Sus scrofa: one gene and its partners. The main gene of each other region encodes a partner of the protein of the gene in region 2 in a complex. Links are inferred from orthologs where the notes say so. Each region holds a gene or a part of one and is shown on either strand. Other genes may lie near its edges. The genes, in order: CHIC2, STUB1 and HSPB8.

Evidence for each region.
Region 1: the proteins of STUB1 (region 2) and CHIC2 are in contact, whole or in part, in a crystal structure (PDB 8SUV), measured with the Homo sapiens proteins. The link is inferred for Sus scrofa from reciprocal best matches to the Homo sapiens genes STUB1 and CHIC2. Residues at the interface, in NP_005852.2 of Homo sapiens: Lys30, Asn34, Phe37, Tyr49, Val61, Asn65, Leu68, Leu71, Val94, Lys95, Phe98, Phe99, Gln102, Arg128, Asn130, Phe131, Gly132, Asp134, Ile135; in NP_036242.1 of Homo sapiens: Leu156, Pro157, Lys158, Thr159, Pro160, Ile161, Phe162, Arg163, Pro164, Asp165.
Region 3: STUB1 (region 2) and HSPB8 share a complex: the UniProt entries of both Homo sapiens proteins name them as parts of the chaperone-assisted selective autophagy (CASA) complex. The link is inferred for Sus scrofa from reciprocal best matches to the Homo sapiens genes STUB1 and HSPB8.

The regions. Positions count from the first base shown.
Region 1 is NC_010450.4:40,794,678-40,798,589, forward strand, and holds part of CHIC2 (cysteine-rich hydrophobic domain-containing protein 2), read right to left. Parts: intron 2,200-3,912; coding exon 2,143-2,199; intron 1,977-2,142; coding exon 1,917-1,976; intron 1-1,916.
Region 2 is NC_010445.4:41,092,055-41,096,729, forward strand, and holds STUB1 (E3 ubiquitin-protein ligase CHIP), read right to left. Parts: upstream 3,128-4,675; 5' UTR 3,008-3,127; coding exon 2,849-3,007; intron 2,357-2,848; coding exon 2,158-2,356; intron 2,070-2,157; coding exon 1,904-2,069; intron 1,567-1,903; exon of another isoform or gene 1,425-1,566; coding exon 1,337-1,424; intron 1,185-1,336; coding exon 1,128-1,184; intron 1,041-1,127; coding exon 924-1,040; intron 847-923; coding exon 721-846; 3' UTR 460-720; downstream 1-459. Other genes in the region: JMJD8 (jmjC domain-containing protein 8), read left to right, coding at 1-38, 118-252, 333-413; uncharacterized protein LOC100524737, read left to right, coding at 3,316-3,443, 3,516-3,609, 3,766-3,925, 4,105-4,257, 4,377-4,540. UniProt on the Homo sapiens protein: E3 ubiquitin-protein ligase which targets misfolded chaperone substrates towards proteasomal degradation.
Region 3 is NC_010456.5:33,636,910-33,641,439, reverse strand, and holds the start of HSPB8 (heat shock protein beta-8), read left to right. Parts: upstream 1-1,615; 5' UTR 1,616-2,223; coding exon 2,224-2,590; intron 2,591-4,530. UniProt on the Homo sapiens protein: Involved in the chaperone-assisted selective autophagy (CASA), a crucial process for protein quality control, particularly in mechanical strained cells and tissues such as muscle. Displays temperature-dependent chaperone activity.

The DNA of each region.
Region 1 (3,912 bases), on a different chromosome or scaffold from region 2:
ATAAAAATAAAGTTAGTAACAAATTTGCACGTTCTTAGATTGACTCCAATATTTCAAATATAATAGAGGAAAATTATTTCCCTTTAACAAAGGAAATTTCTCTAAGTTAAAGAAAAGTTTAGGTCAAATATATATATATATATCTGATAGATCATTTACTATCTTAAGTTTTCAGAATTATTTTTGGAAGCTTTAAAAATTATGTTTTCCCTTCATTCAACTCTCTCTCACACACACACACACACACACACACACACATATATATACACTCTGTGAAAATTTAGAAAAAATACATTTTTAAAGCAAATGTTTTAAAGCTACTCTTCTGGATATCTTCTATGATGATGTGAAAAATATAATGGCCCTAGGAAAAGTGTTTATCTAAAAATTTATGATAAATTAAAGGAAACTATTTTATACACAGAGCACATAGTTCAGAATGTTTTGGAAGTAAATTATGTAAATGAATAACAAATAATAAAAAATAAACATGAATATAATGAGCATATTTTATAAATGAATGACATTCTTCCAGTTCTATCTAGAAATTGGGAATAAGTTGTTCTCCTTTTCAAAGTAAATTTAGAAATGTGCAAAATAAGTAAATAAAAAATAAGTAAATAAACAAAAGCCTCAATTTTGAGCTTAGTGTTTGGGTTTATAGTCAGTATTTTTTCACAAAAGCCTTTAAATCTCTTAGATATCCATCCCTCCTCACAAAATACATAATCTTTCTCATCATCTATGATGAAAATTCAAATCCAGCATTTCCAGAGGTCTATCTCAAAATAAGTTATGTGAATGTGCTTTTATTATATAAAGAGGTATCAAGTGCCTTTTTATCATCATAAATTAACATGTTTGATGTAATAATGATAAAATCTTCATTACTTGGTTCACTGAATAGAGCTATTCTATAAAAAAAAAAAAAGACACATCTTTAAGACATCTTTTATGTTCAAGGCTAGAAATGGGATTTTACTGTGTGATAATGAAAGAGAAAATGCTACAGAGAAAAATGATTGTATGATAATTTCCAACTATTTAAGCACTCTTTTAATCAATCTTTTATATATACACATACATATATACTACTTATGATGGCTATATTGTTTCAAAGAATAGATGAAATTTGTTAGAAATGATGTTCCAGGTACTTAACTCTTCCTCAGATCTTTTTCTTTTAATATAATAACCTTTCCATATTTAAAATGAAACACCCAAACTCAAGGGAGAATAAAGAGTCACAATTTTCTATAGCATTCTGAACTTTTCAAAAGGAGAAAAATAAAGTAAATCAAGTAGTCAGCAAATTAAATCCCATTCTAAAATCCATTGAATATACATGCTCATTTAGATAACTTAACGAATAAACACAGGATAAGTACCATCTCATCTCCCGTTTACTTTTAAGATACTTTTTACAGAATAATATTCCAATAACACTTTGAAAGATTCTCTAAAGGCCACGGAGGTATGGGCAGTTAAAATCTATAAAGGCTAAAGGTTTCTTAAGCTCCAGTGGCTTGGCTGAAAGGTTTTCTTCCATACTTGGAAACCTGATTAGCATTATATAAAAAAGCCATATCTGACTTGCTGCGTAACCAAAGTTGTGGTTATTCTTTATACAGCATCTAAAATTTCACACTCCATCAACACATGTTCAGGCTATTTTATCTTGGCAATTAATTTATTATTTTTCAGAACACAGTGAAGCCTTGTTTTCAAGTCATTCATAACTTTATAAATCAGTCTTGCACATGAAACCATGCATCTGTGAACCGTAGAAAATCCTTGCGCTCAGGAGATTAAGCTCCTGACACCTTTGCTGATTAATAATCATGGAAAGAATAAGATCAGAAGCAAAATAAATGATCATTTAATAGAGAAACTCACAAAACAGCCCTTTAACTTACATATTCCATCATGTTATTCGTTTCACATTTCCTTTTGCTCAGTCTCCAGTGCAAGCACAGCTAGACAAGTAGGAGAGTAAAAGAAGAAAAATGAGCTCTATTTTATTGCAGCACACAGACTAACCCATTTATCCACCTTTCATATTTTTAGTTCAACAAAAGCATCTGTTTCCATACTGTGCAATTCAGACCCCAACAGTACGAAGCTGCTCCCTGTGGTACTCACCTTGTGGTATAACCTATTGTTTTCCCATTCTAATAACTTCTCAATCGATCTTCGTGTCTGGAAGACAAATGAGGAAAAAGTTTACTCTTGACTGGTTTTAGAAAAACTTTGTTTTGCAGCTGCTTTTTGTGTGAAAAGGAGTGAGGTATAAGACAGTGACTGAGTATAGGGTGGTCTATAAACACTATCAACATTCGAGCACTATAATAGCTGCCTGAACAGAAACAGAACACTATTTTGATTAAGACATGGTTTTGGTTTTTCGCCATTGCGTTTCTTAACTGTTTCAAACACACTATGCTCTGATTTAAAACCAGCAAAGTCTAAAAAGCTAATTTTCACCATATGATACAAATTTAATCCCAATTTCTTTCAGAAATATTTTTGTAATGCTTAAATAGTAATAAGATTTCCTTATACATCTTCTATTTTTTAATATATATTTTAAAACAAAGGTTAAGCATTAGGTAACAAAATGCAAAAGGCTTTTAGAATAAATTCAAGAAGGAAATAATTGAAAGTTAATTTAAAATCAATTTGCTATCGAATCAAACTAATTTTTACGTTATAAGAATGATGACCAAATTTAAAAGCTGGTTTATTATTCCATAGGTAACTATTTTCAAGCAGAGGCAAAACTGCATTTAAACCAATCATTTTTGTTGGTTTTCAAACAAAATGAGTTTTATTGAAAAATCTCTTTACTAAATATTACTGTTAAAGGAATCAACTAAGAAATTTATGTTTAGGATCACATGATTTTTGCAATATATACTATGAAGCATGAAATGCTTCTTCCTTGGGAAGAATAAAAGGGAGCATAATTCATGGTGCCAGGTGTTAGGATGAGACCAACACAGCTGCAGGTGCAAACAGGACAGTTTTGCCACAAGAATCAACTGCAACTTGCTGCAGCTGCAGCTTCCTTGCAAGGAAAGGGAAAAAGCATCTAGCTCTATTAATGTGGCACAACTAAGTAAGTATTAATCATCAAATATGAAAATGTGCATGTCAAGCAAGGATGAGCTAGGTGAAAATTGTTACGATCAGCTAGTTTTGAATAGCTCAGTGTTATAAAATGTGTTAATATTTAAAGTATCTACTGTAATCTAGTTACCATGTTACCTTTTAGCATGCTGAACATGCTAGAGACATACCACAGTCACAGAGGTGCCAATTATAATTCATAACTACTACTACTACTGCCTTACATTTTCCAAACTTATGTCATAAAAATCAGAAAATCAACTAACTCTCTGGGTAATAATACGCCAATGACTAATTTATTACACTACTTTTTTTGAACAGTTTTTTGGGCAAGAATTTTAAAGGGAAAAAAGTGCCCTTGTTAACAATGATCAGCAGACCTCACTTGTTTCTTTGTAAAGATAGCCTTTTAGAGGCAGCTCTCCTTTTAAATGAAAATAGGGCAGCAGTTATGGTCACACTTTTTGTTAATTTAGTTGCCAGTCAGCCCCAAATCAAAAGAAAATAAGGCTGCAGAGTGTAATTAACATTCAGTTCAGTCGTTTTGTCCCTTGTCTAGCCCCCAAGCTTTGTTAAAATTGCCATCTGAATGCTGAAGGCTGTAGGGAAATCGATTTGATTCTAATCGCACCATGAAAAGAACATGATCTAACTGCTTTCAGCCCTCCGTAAATCTGTACTAGGTCTTTAGCACAATGCAACTTCCAATTTAAAAAGCACTGAATGTCTCGTCAATGACTTTGTGAAGAAAAAAGAACAAGGAGCAGACATAAAAATTCCAAT
Region 2 (4,675 bases):
ATGGGCCCGGGTTCTCGGAGGTGATCTACGGCCGCAAGGTCAGCACAGTGTGAGGGCTGAACCTTGAGGTTCACTGACCACAACACAGCATGACCTTGTTGCTCCTTCCACCCTCAGCGCTGGTTCCTGTATCCCCCTGAGAAGACACCCGAGTTCCATCCCAACAAGACCACACTGGCTTGGCTCCGGGACACATACCCAGCCCTGGCACCATCTGCACGGCCCCTGGAATGCACCATCCAGGCCGGTGAGGTCAGTGGTTGGCAGGCAGGGGCTGGGCCGGGCCAAGGGCCTGCAACCAATCCCTGTGCCTTTCTCACCCCATCCACTAGGTGCTGTATTTCCCTGACCGATGGTGGCACGCCACACTCAACCTTGACATCAGCGTCTTCATCTCTACGTTCCTCAGCTAACCCAGGGGGTGGCTGGTAAGCCGTTGCACACCAGCACACGCCCCCATAGTGCTCACAGATTTTATTACAGGGACAGTGGTGGCAGCAGCAACCTCGGCCTGGCCCACCCTCACCTGCCGCTTCTGGCACAGGAGGATGGGGGAGCCTCATGGCCCAGCAGAACTGGTGGGGCTGGGGCTGGGGATACCAGGGTGGGGATCCAGGGACACGAACTATGTACAGAGGCTAGGGGCTGCTGCCCCAAGGCCCTCCCAAGAAGCCAGGATACTGGGCAGGGTGGGTGAGGGGCCCACCCACTTGCCCTGCCTCAGTAGTCCTCCACCCAGCCATTCTCCGAGATGAACGCATCAATGACCTCCTTCATGGCCAGGTTGGGGATGAGCTGTTCCTGGGTCAGGGGGCTCCGAGTCACAGGGTCAAAGTGGCCCACGCGCTGCAGTGGCAACAGGATCAGAATGAGAAGATGCCCAGTGGGTGTGGGCCCTGCCCCCAGCGGCTACGGACCCTTACCTGCAGGTGCTCCTCAATGTCCTTGCGGTCATAGGTGATGCCACTGGGCGTGATGCACGGCTCCCGCATCAGCTCGAAGCTGATCTTGCCACACAGGTAGTCAGGGATGTCTCGCTTCTGCAGCACCCAAGCTCAGGTCAGGAGCGGGAAGGGGCACTGCCCTGGCTCCTGCTACCCACAGGGCCCAGGGAACAGGCAGCTTACCTTTCTCTTCTCATCCACCTGGGAGAAGAGCTCATCCATGTCTGCCAAGTACTTATCCTACAAAAAACCAGGCAGCTCCAGAGAAGCTTGAGCCCCTGTCGCCTTTCCCCAGGCACCCCGCCCACAAAGACCCAACAGGAGCCAGGGTCACCTCACATCACACACGTGCAAATACACACAGGACCCACACGTGGGCAGGGCACCCTCACATGCTTGGCCTCGATGCAGGCCTGCTGGGCCCGGATGTGGCCGTCATCCTCTTCACCCTCGTGGTTCCGCTGACACTCTTCCAGCTCCCTGGGGTGGACCACACAGCTGATCAGAGATGGGTCTGGCCAGAGGAGATCAGACTCCACCTTGGGCCGATTCAGGCCCTGTTCCCTCATCTCCTGCTTTCCCAGGCTGGTCCTCAATAAACGCTTATGTTCACGACTCAGAATGGTGACTTTTGCGAGTTCCCGTCATGGCTCAGTGGTTAATGAATCCGACTAGGAACCATGAGATTGCAGGTTTGAACCTCGGCCTTGCTCAGTGGGTTAACGATCCGACGTTGTCAAGAACTGGTGTAGGTCGCAGACAACGGCTCGGATCCCGCATTGCTGTGGCTCTGGCGTAGGCCGGCGGCTAGAGCTCCGATTGGACCCCTAGCCTGGGAACCTTCACATGATACAGGAGGGGCCCTAGAAATGGCGAAAAGACACGAAAACAAAAAAACAAGGAAAAAAAGAATGGTGACTTTGGGAGGTGGGGTGGAGCCCATGAACACCACAGCCCACCTCTCACGCTCAGCCACAATGAGTCGAGTGAGGTAAGAGTGCAGCTCGTTCTCCTGGTGGATGCGCCGCTCCTCGATGCTGTTCCAGCGTTTCTTCTTGGCAATGCGCAAAGCACTGGGGATGTCATCCCCAAAATTGAGCCGCTGCTCCTTGGCCAGGTTGTAGGCTGGGGGAACAAAGGATCCGGGTAACCCTCGAGCCAGTCCCCCCGCCTGGTCCCAGGCACCCTGGAACAGGCCAGCCAGCAAGCCCACCTCGCTGCAGGTTGGCAATAGCCTCATCATAGCTCTCCATCTCCAACTGGCACTGCCCCAGGAAGAAGTGTGCTTTCACAGACTGGCTGTCCAGTTCCAGGGCGCGCCGGCAGTCAGCCAGGGCTTGCTCGTGCTGCTGCATCTTCAGGTAGCACAGTGCCCGGTTGGTGTAATACACTGCCACCAAGGGATTCCGGGTCTGGGGACCAAGGCCGGACCAGCCAACATGAGGGAGTGAGTTCAGCCTGCCCTTTCTGTCCTAGCTTGAGACCCACGGCTGGAATCAAGACACTAGAGGTTTCTCAGCACCCAGGTCTCTGGGCGCGGAGGAAGGGTGGAGCCTACCTGAGCCCGCCCCCTCGACTCCAACGAGTCTTGCGAAGACAGGTTTCCCAGACTCCTGAAAATCCCCAGCTTTGGGCTTGGACCCCCAGCCCAGTGGGCTGCAAGCACCCTGAAGCTCCCACCCGCCACAGTTCTCTGACCACCAACCCTGGCTCGGGAGCCGTAGCCTTGGCCTCTCTGAGAGAAGATCACTCAGTCCTCAGAGCCGAAGTGCATCCCCTCCGAAAGTCCGGTAGGGGCGGCCAGACAGGGGCTCCGGGGAGGACGCGGGGCCGAAGCCGCGGCCCGGCCCGGCCCCTCCTCCGGCCCCGACGCCTGCCCCCTCCCGCGGCCCGGGCGCACTCACGATGGCGCGGCCGTAGCAGGCCGCCGCCTCCGGGTACTTGCGGCCCACGAAGAGCCGGTTGCCCTGCTCCTTTAGCTCCTGCGCGCTCGGGCTCTTCTCCGGGCTGCCGCCGCCGGCGCCCAGCCGCGCGCCGCTCTCCTTCTCCTCCTTGCCCTTCATGGCGCCGCGCGGCACGGCCTGGGCTCCGCTCCCAGGCTCCGCGCCCGGCCCGCCCAGCGCCCGCACCCCGAGCCCGCGATCCGCTCGGGCCCAGTCCTGCGCTCTGCCACCGGAACTTCCGGCCGTGCGGTTGGGCGGGGCCTCGCGTGCCCCCAACGCGCCGCGGGGGCGGGGTTGGCAGGGAGCGTGCGCTCGCGGCGACTCGACGCGCGGCGTCGGCAACCTGAGGAGAGCCGAGGTCGTCGGGGCGGAAGCCCACCCCGGCGCCCCGGCGCCCCGCCCCCGAAGCCCTGCCCCGGCGCGTGGACATGGCGGCGGCCCGCGGCCTTTGGGGCTGTGAGGACCCGAGCCTCTGGGCCGCCGTCCTGGGCCGCCACGGGGAAGTGCTCCGAGCGCGCGCGGGCCCCCAGGGGCGGCTGGAAGCCCTGGACCGATGGTAGGGTGATAGGGGCATCGGGTGGGCGGGGGACCCCCGTGGCCCGGAGTCGCCGTCACAGCTCTTCTCCAGGTATCGAGAGGCGTTGCCCGCAGCCATCGAGGGCCGGGAGGAGAAGCACGTGACTCGAGAAGAGCTGGGGCAGCTGCTGGCTTGGAAGCTGGCTGTGAGGAACTTCCCACTTGGGGGGCGGGGCCTCCTTCCGGGGCGGGGCGTAGCGGTGTGGGCGTGGGCGTGGCTCGCCCGGGGGCGGGCCCTCGCGCTGTGGGGCGGGGCCCCTAGCGAGGTCCAGCACCCGTGACCCCCACCCCGACTTGACCAGCGGGGCCGCTTCAGGCCGCGCCTGCATCAGCTCGTCAGCGCCAACGCCCCGGAGTTGGTGGTGCAGCACTCGGCTGCCGCCTTCCCCCTCCTGCCAGACATGCACGCCGCGGTCACGGAATTACGCGCCCTGCGGGGCGTGGGCCCGGCCACGGCCTCGGGTTAGTCGGGAGAGCCTGGCGCCCTGGCAGGGTCGCGGGCGGAACCTGGTCTGTTAGTACATTTGCCTGGGACATCGCCTGATGGCCACGTTCATGACACCAAGAGCTGTTGCGAATGGCAGCCCCGAAGGTGTCTTGAGGCTGGTGGGGCCTGAGTGTTGGCTGTTTGCTGCCCATAGCGGTCTTGGCTGCCGGAGCTCCCGAGGTGGCAGCTTTCATGTCTGAGGAGGCAGTGGCCGCGGTGCCCGGTCTGCCAGCCCTGCAGTACACCCTCAAGCACTACCTGCTGTACCTGAGCCGGGTGCAGGAGCGAGCCACAGCTCTGAGCCATGGTGAGGAGACTGCTGGCAGCGAGGGAGGGCATTCAGGACTCTGGTCAGGGTGGAGGGTGCAGAGCTTCCCAGCAGAGCAGGGTGACCTGGGCCCCAGACTCCCTGTTGCCCCTCCTTAGGCAGTGCCTCAGGGCTGTGGACCCCGCATCGTGTGGAGACAGCCCTGTGGACCTGGGCTATAGGGCAGAAGCTGTGCCCTGACCTGCTGCCCGACCTCGGTCCCAGCCCAGCCGCCCCCGAGGACTCCAGGCCAGCCAAGAAGCGCCGGACCCAGACCGACTGATTTGGCTGTGGCCCAGATCCTGCTCACCTGCTCTGTGACCTCAGGGCACAAGTCTCTGGGCCAGAGGCTGGCTGCTGTAGGAGCCCAATAAATGCTTGCTGAACTCACACCTGCCTGTGAGGCCCACAGTCCCTC
Region 3 (4,530 bases), on a different chromosome or scaffold from region 2:
CCCAGGTCCTGGGCAGGACCTGCTTTCTTCTCTGTGTCACGCAGTGATTCTTCCCCTCGCGGCTCCACACCCAGCCAGCCTCGCCCCACCCAGCTGTAATTACAGAGAGAGCTGAGGCCCTGTGCCCGGCCCTGACGTCAGCCTGAAGCTCGAGCCGGTGACCTCACCCTAGTCACTGGGGACGAGGGCGCCCCAATCTCCTTTCCTGGGCCCAGAGACTGGGCGGCGGGGGGGGGGGGGGGTGCAGTGGCAGTAGCGGCGGGGTCTGGATCCTTCAGCTCCGCACAGACTTTCGGGTCCCCACCGAGGTCGTGCCGCCCCCCAGCGGTGTGCGAGGACCACGCTCGCCGCAGTTTCCTCATCTGCGAAATGGGCGTGGTGACGGCGCCCGCGTGGCAGTGGTGAGGGTTCAGGGCAGCTGCTCACTGCGTGGCAGGTACAGAGCAGGCAGGAATGATGGGGACTGTTGTTGTTTTCCATACTATTATTTTTAGCAAACTGCCTCACGTGGGCCCAGCTTAATACCAAAAGGATTTCTCAACCCATGACTCACTGAATTCCTTAACACCCCCAGCCCAGCCCACCCCACCCCACAAGGAAGGCGGGGCCCAGACCCTAAGCCCTGAGAGAGAGGATGGCACGCCCCCAGACAGCACACCTGCTGGGGACAGATCAAAAACTGGAATGGGAGCTCAAGGGGCCTTGAGATCAAAGGACAAGGTGTAAATTCAAGGGCACGGAGGGGCAGGGAAACCCAGAAAAGAGGTCTTCTCTGGGCTTGGAGTTTCAGACCGGACACCCTCCTTGAATTCAGCATCTTTGGGTAATTATCATTATTAACTGTCATCGTAGTAATAGAAGCTACCACTGGCTAACACTCCCTATGGTGGTTTCCCCTTCTGTAAGCTGGGGATAAGGCAGTACCCTTGCCTCACAGGACTGTTGGTGAGGATGAAGCCAGTGAATGTTTGTAAAGCATTTTTAGATCAGGGCCTGGCATCTAGCAAGTTTTATGTCATTGAGAAGCAACATTGAAAATATAAAATGTCAGTCTGCCGAATGCTTAAGGAGGATGACCTCATGGTGAGGAGGCTATTATTACTCTCCATTTTACAGGAGGGAAAACTGACAGCTCACAGCCACCTGGGGAAGAATGGTGACTCCGCTCAGAGGGTGCAAAAGGTGAGCTCCAAGAGCTTGAAGATGCTGGAGGGTTAGAAGGTGGGGATGGCAGGAGTTCCCTGGTGGTCTAGTGGGTTAAGGAGCTGGCGCTGTCATTGCAGCGGTTTGGGTTGCCGCTGTGGTGCAGGTTCGATCCCTGGCCCAGGGAACTTTCGATTGCCCTGGGGGCACAGCAAAAAAAAGAAAAAAAAAAAAAAAAGAAGAAGTGGGGAGGGATTGCAACCCTGGGCCATCTTCCTGCAAAACCGCTAGGCTCCTGTCTCTCTCCTCCCCTTCTCCAGGTCCCCAGGGGGTAGGCAGGATGCAGCAGGCTCTGGGGAAGGTATTTCCAGAGGGTGACCTGAGCCCTCAGCCAGGCGAGGGTTATTAATAGCCAGGCCTTAGTGCCCTGCTGGGGGCGGGCTCCCGAGGAGGGAGAGAGAGGGAGCGGGAGCGGGAGCGGGAGGGGGGCGGAGCGGAGCGCAGCTGGGGGAGGAGTGTCCGGAGAGGCTGGCAGAACTTGGCAGAGAAGGCCCCTCCCAGCCCCCTGGGAGCCCAGCTGTTCCCTCCGCGGGATTCTCGGGGGGCTGGTTCATCACCTCCGAATACTCCTGTGACAGGAGGCACTTGCAAAACCCGCCTCCAGCCCCCAGCAGCAATAAATAGAAGGCTCCCAGCCCAGAAGCAAGGAGAAGTTTCTAGGCCTGCGTCCTCGGTGTTTATTAAGCTCCCGGCTCCACCAGCGGCTCTGGCTGAGAGCCTGGACCGCCTGGGCGGAGGGTGGCTGGCTGTTCTCCGGGGAGGCTGGTGTGGAGAAGGGGGCCTGGAGAATTCTGCTGGACCAGCTAGGGGTCGGCTTTGGTGGCTGGAGCGTCTTTGGAGGCTGGGACCCCGGCCTGGTGTGACAGCCTCCGTCCCTGGCAGTGGATGGTTCAGCATTATTCCGAAGCTGAAGAATAAGCTTGGAAGACCCGCATACCCACACCACCTTGCTGTGTGAGACCTTGAGCAGGTGGCTCCCTCTCTCTGAGCCTCCGTTTCCCCTCTAGCTCAGCGGCCACCATGGCTGACGGTCAGATGCCCTTCCCCTGCCACTACGCCAGCCGCCGGCGCCGGGACCCCTTCCGAGACTCCCCTCTGTCCTCCCGCCTGTTGGACGATGGCTTTGGCATGGACCCCTTCCCAGACGACCTGACTGCCTCTTGGCCCGACTGGGCCCTGCCTCGTCTCTCCTCTGCCTGGCCAGGGACCTTGAGGTCGGGCATGGTGCCCCGGGGGCCAACGTCGATGGCCAGATTTGGGGTCCCTGCCGAGGGCAGGAGCCCCCCACCCTTCCCTGGGGAGCCCTGGAAAGTGTGTGTCAACGTGCACAGCTTTAAGCCGGAGGAGCTGATGGTAAAGACCAAGGATGGCTACGTGGAGGTGTCTGGTGAGTGGGGAGCAGTGGGGGGAGAGAGACTTGGGGTGGGGGGGCAGTGTGGGCTTCAACCTGGAATAGCCAAGGGACCGTTCCCTAAGAAGGGAAGCTGTGACAGCAGGACACAGGTGACTTCAGGGCCCAGGAATGCAGCCCATACAAGCTATCTTTACCGAAAAGCACTCCTCTCCTGGCTTCCAGGAGAAATTTTAACCTGGCTCAGCTGCTGGGTCCTTTGGGCACTGCATCAACCAGCGAACAAGAGGGAAAAAGCCACATGGAGAGTTTTGATAGAATTTAATATAAAGAAAAAGCTTTGCAGATATAAAAGGTGGAAAAAGCCGGAAAGAAAGTGGGGTTCCTGCACCCCAGCATCAAGACACTGTCCGGGAGGGGGGTGCCTGTTGCTGTGTCATGATAGTACCTAGCACAGGATTCAAGAGAAACACCTTCTCTGGTCCCCAGGAAGGAAACTGAGGCAGAGTCGTCAGTATAGGGAGGCAACTTGGTAACCCTGATAGACCCTCACTCTCTGCCAGGAACTGTGCTCAGCACTTTGCCTGTGGCATCTCTGAACATAACCAGAGGAGGTGAGTCCTGCCTATCTCCTCACAAATGAGGAAATAGAGGCCCAAAACCTGCTCAAGGCCGACCAGGAATCATGCCCAGGGTGAGGAGACCAGAAGCAAATCGATGGTTTGCTGAGCACCCAGCAGGTGCCCAGGGCGACAACCTGTATATTCCTGCTCACAAATCATCCTCACTCTAGCCCTGAGATGCTGCATGGGTGTCAGGTCCCATTTTGCAGCTGAGGAGTTTGAGGCCTAGGCAGGGACTCCTCCAAGGTCACGCCGTGAGTCAGCAGTCGGATGAGTCTGGGGCTGCCCACGCCACATCCCAGCCTGGGAGACAGGATGTTTTGCAGAACAGGAAAGAGGAGTCGGAGGTTCAGTCCCTGTTAAGCAGGGTGGCAGGGAAAAGGCTTTCAGTCCCTTCCCTCCCAATTAACGCTCCATTAAAAAGAGCTTGTTCCTGGCAGGCTCCACCAGCCAGAAAATCAATAAAAGCCATTGCAGACAGGTTGGGCAGGAACAAGCCTGGGGCGGGAGGTTGGGGGGGGGGTGTGGGGGTAGGGGGGGGATAATGCTTTCAAAACCTCCCAGGGCAAAATTATAAATATCAGTGGCTCCGGAAGGTGTGGTGGGTCCTTGTATGGATGGAGGGGGCAGTCAGGGCTTTGTGAGTTGGCTGGGGAGCCAGGCATCTGAAACCACTTCTCTGTGCTGTTTCCTTATCTGGAAATTGGGGTTCAGACATGGCTACACTGCCTAAGGATTGTTGTCTTCAAGGAGATAATGCACGTGAAGTGTGCCCAGAGTGCCTAGAACACAAAGGATCAGTATTGTTATTGTTGTTGATGTTGTCATTACAATGCTAGGCACACAAATACATATATCCACATTTGTATATGCTAGATGCTCTTCGAGACCTGGGTTCAAATCCCACCACCGCTGTTCACTCTCTGGTTGGATATGGACAAGAAAGTCTTTTCACCATTCTGAGCCTCAGTTTCCGCATCTGAAGAAAGGCGGTCATAATAATATCCATCCTGCAGAGCTGTAGAGAAGATTAAATATGCACAGACACCCTATGATAATAAATGCAGAGTGTCTGTAAAAGGGAGCTAATAATAGTGTCTGCCTGGCACTCTGCAAACAAGGTGATTATTATCACCACTCTTCTTGTCTTTGTTTTAATCAGGGTTCCACCCCAGGGTGAAGGGTCTCCCATGCCCTTTGGCCCAGGAGACCTCTGTGCGGCCTGGAGGGCTTTTTCATCTATCCTCCTTTCTAAGTGCTTCTTAACGGGTGTGGTCTGGCAGCTCCAGGCTGAGATCCCAGCTGAGTACCTTACTAATCCAGAGGCTTTGAGTCAGTCACAGAGCCTCCGTT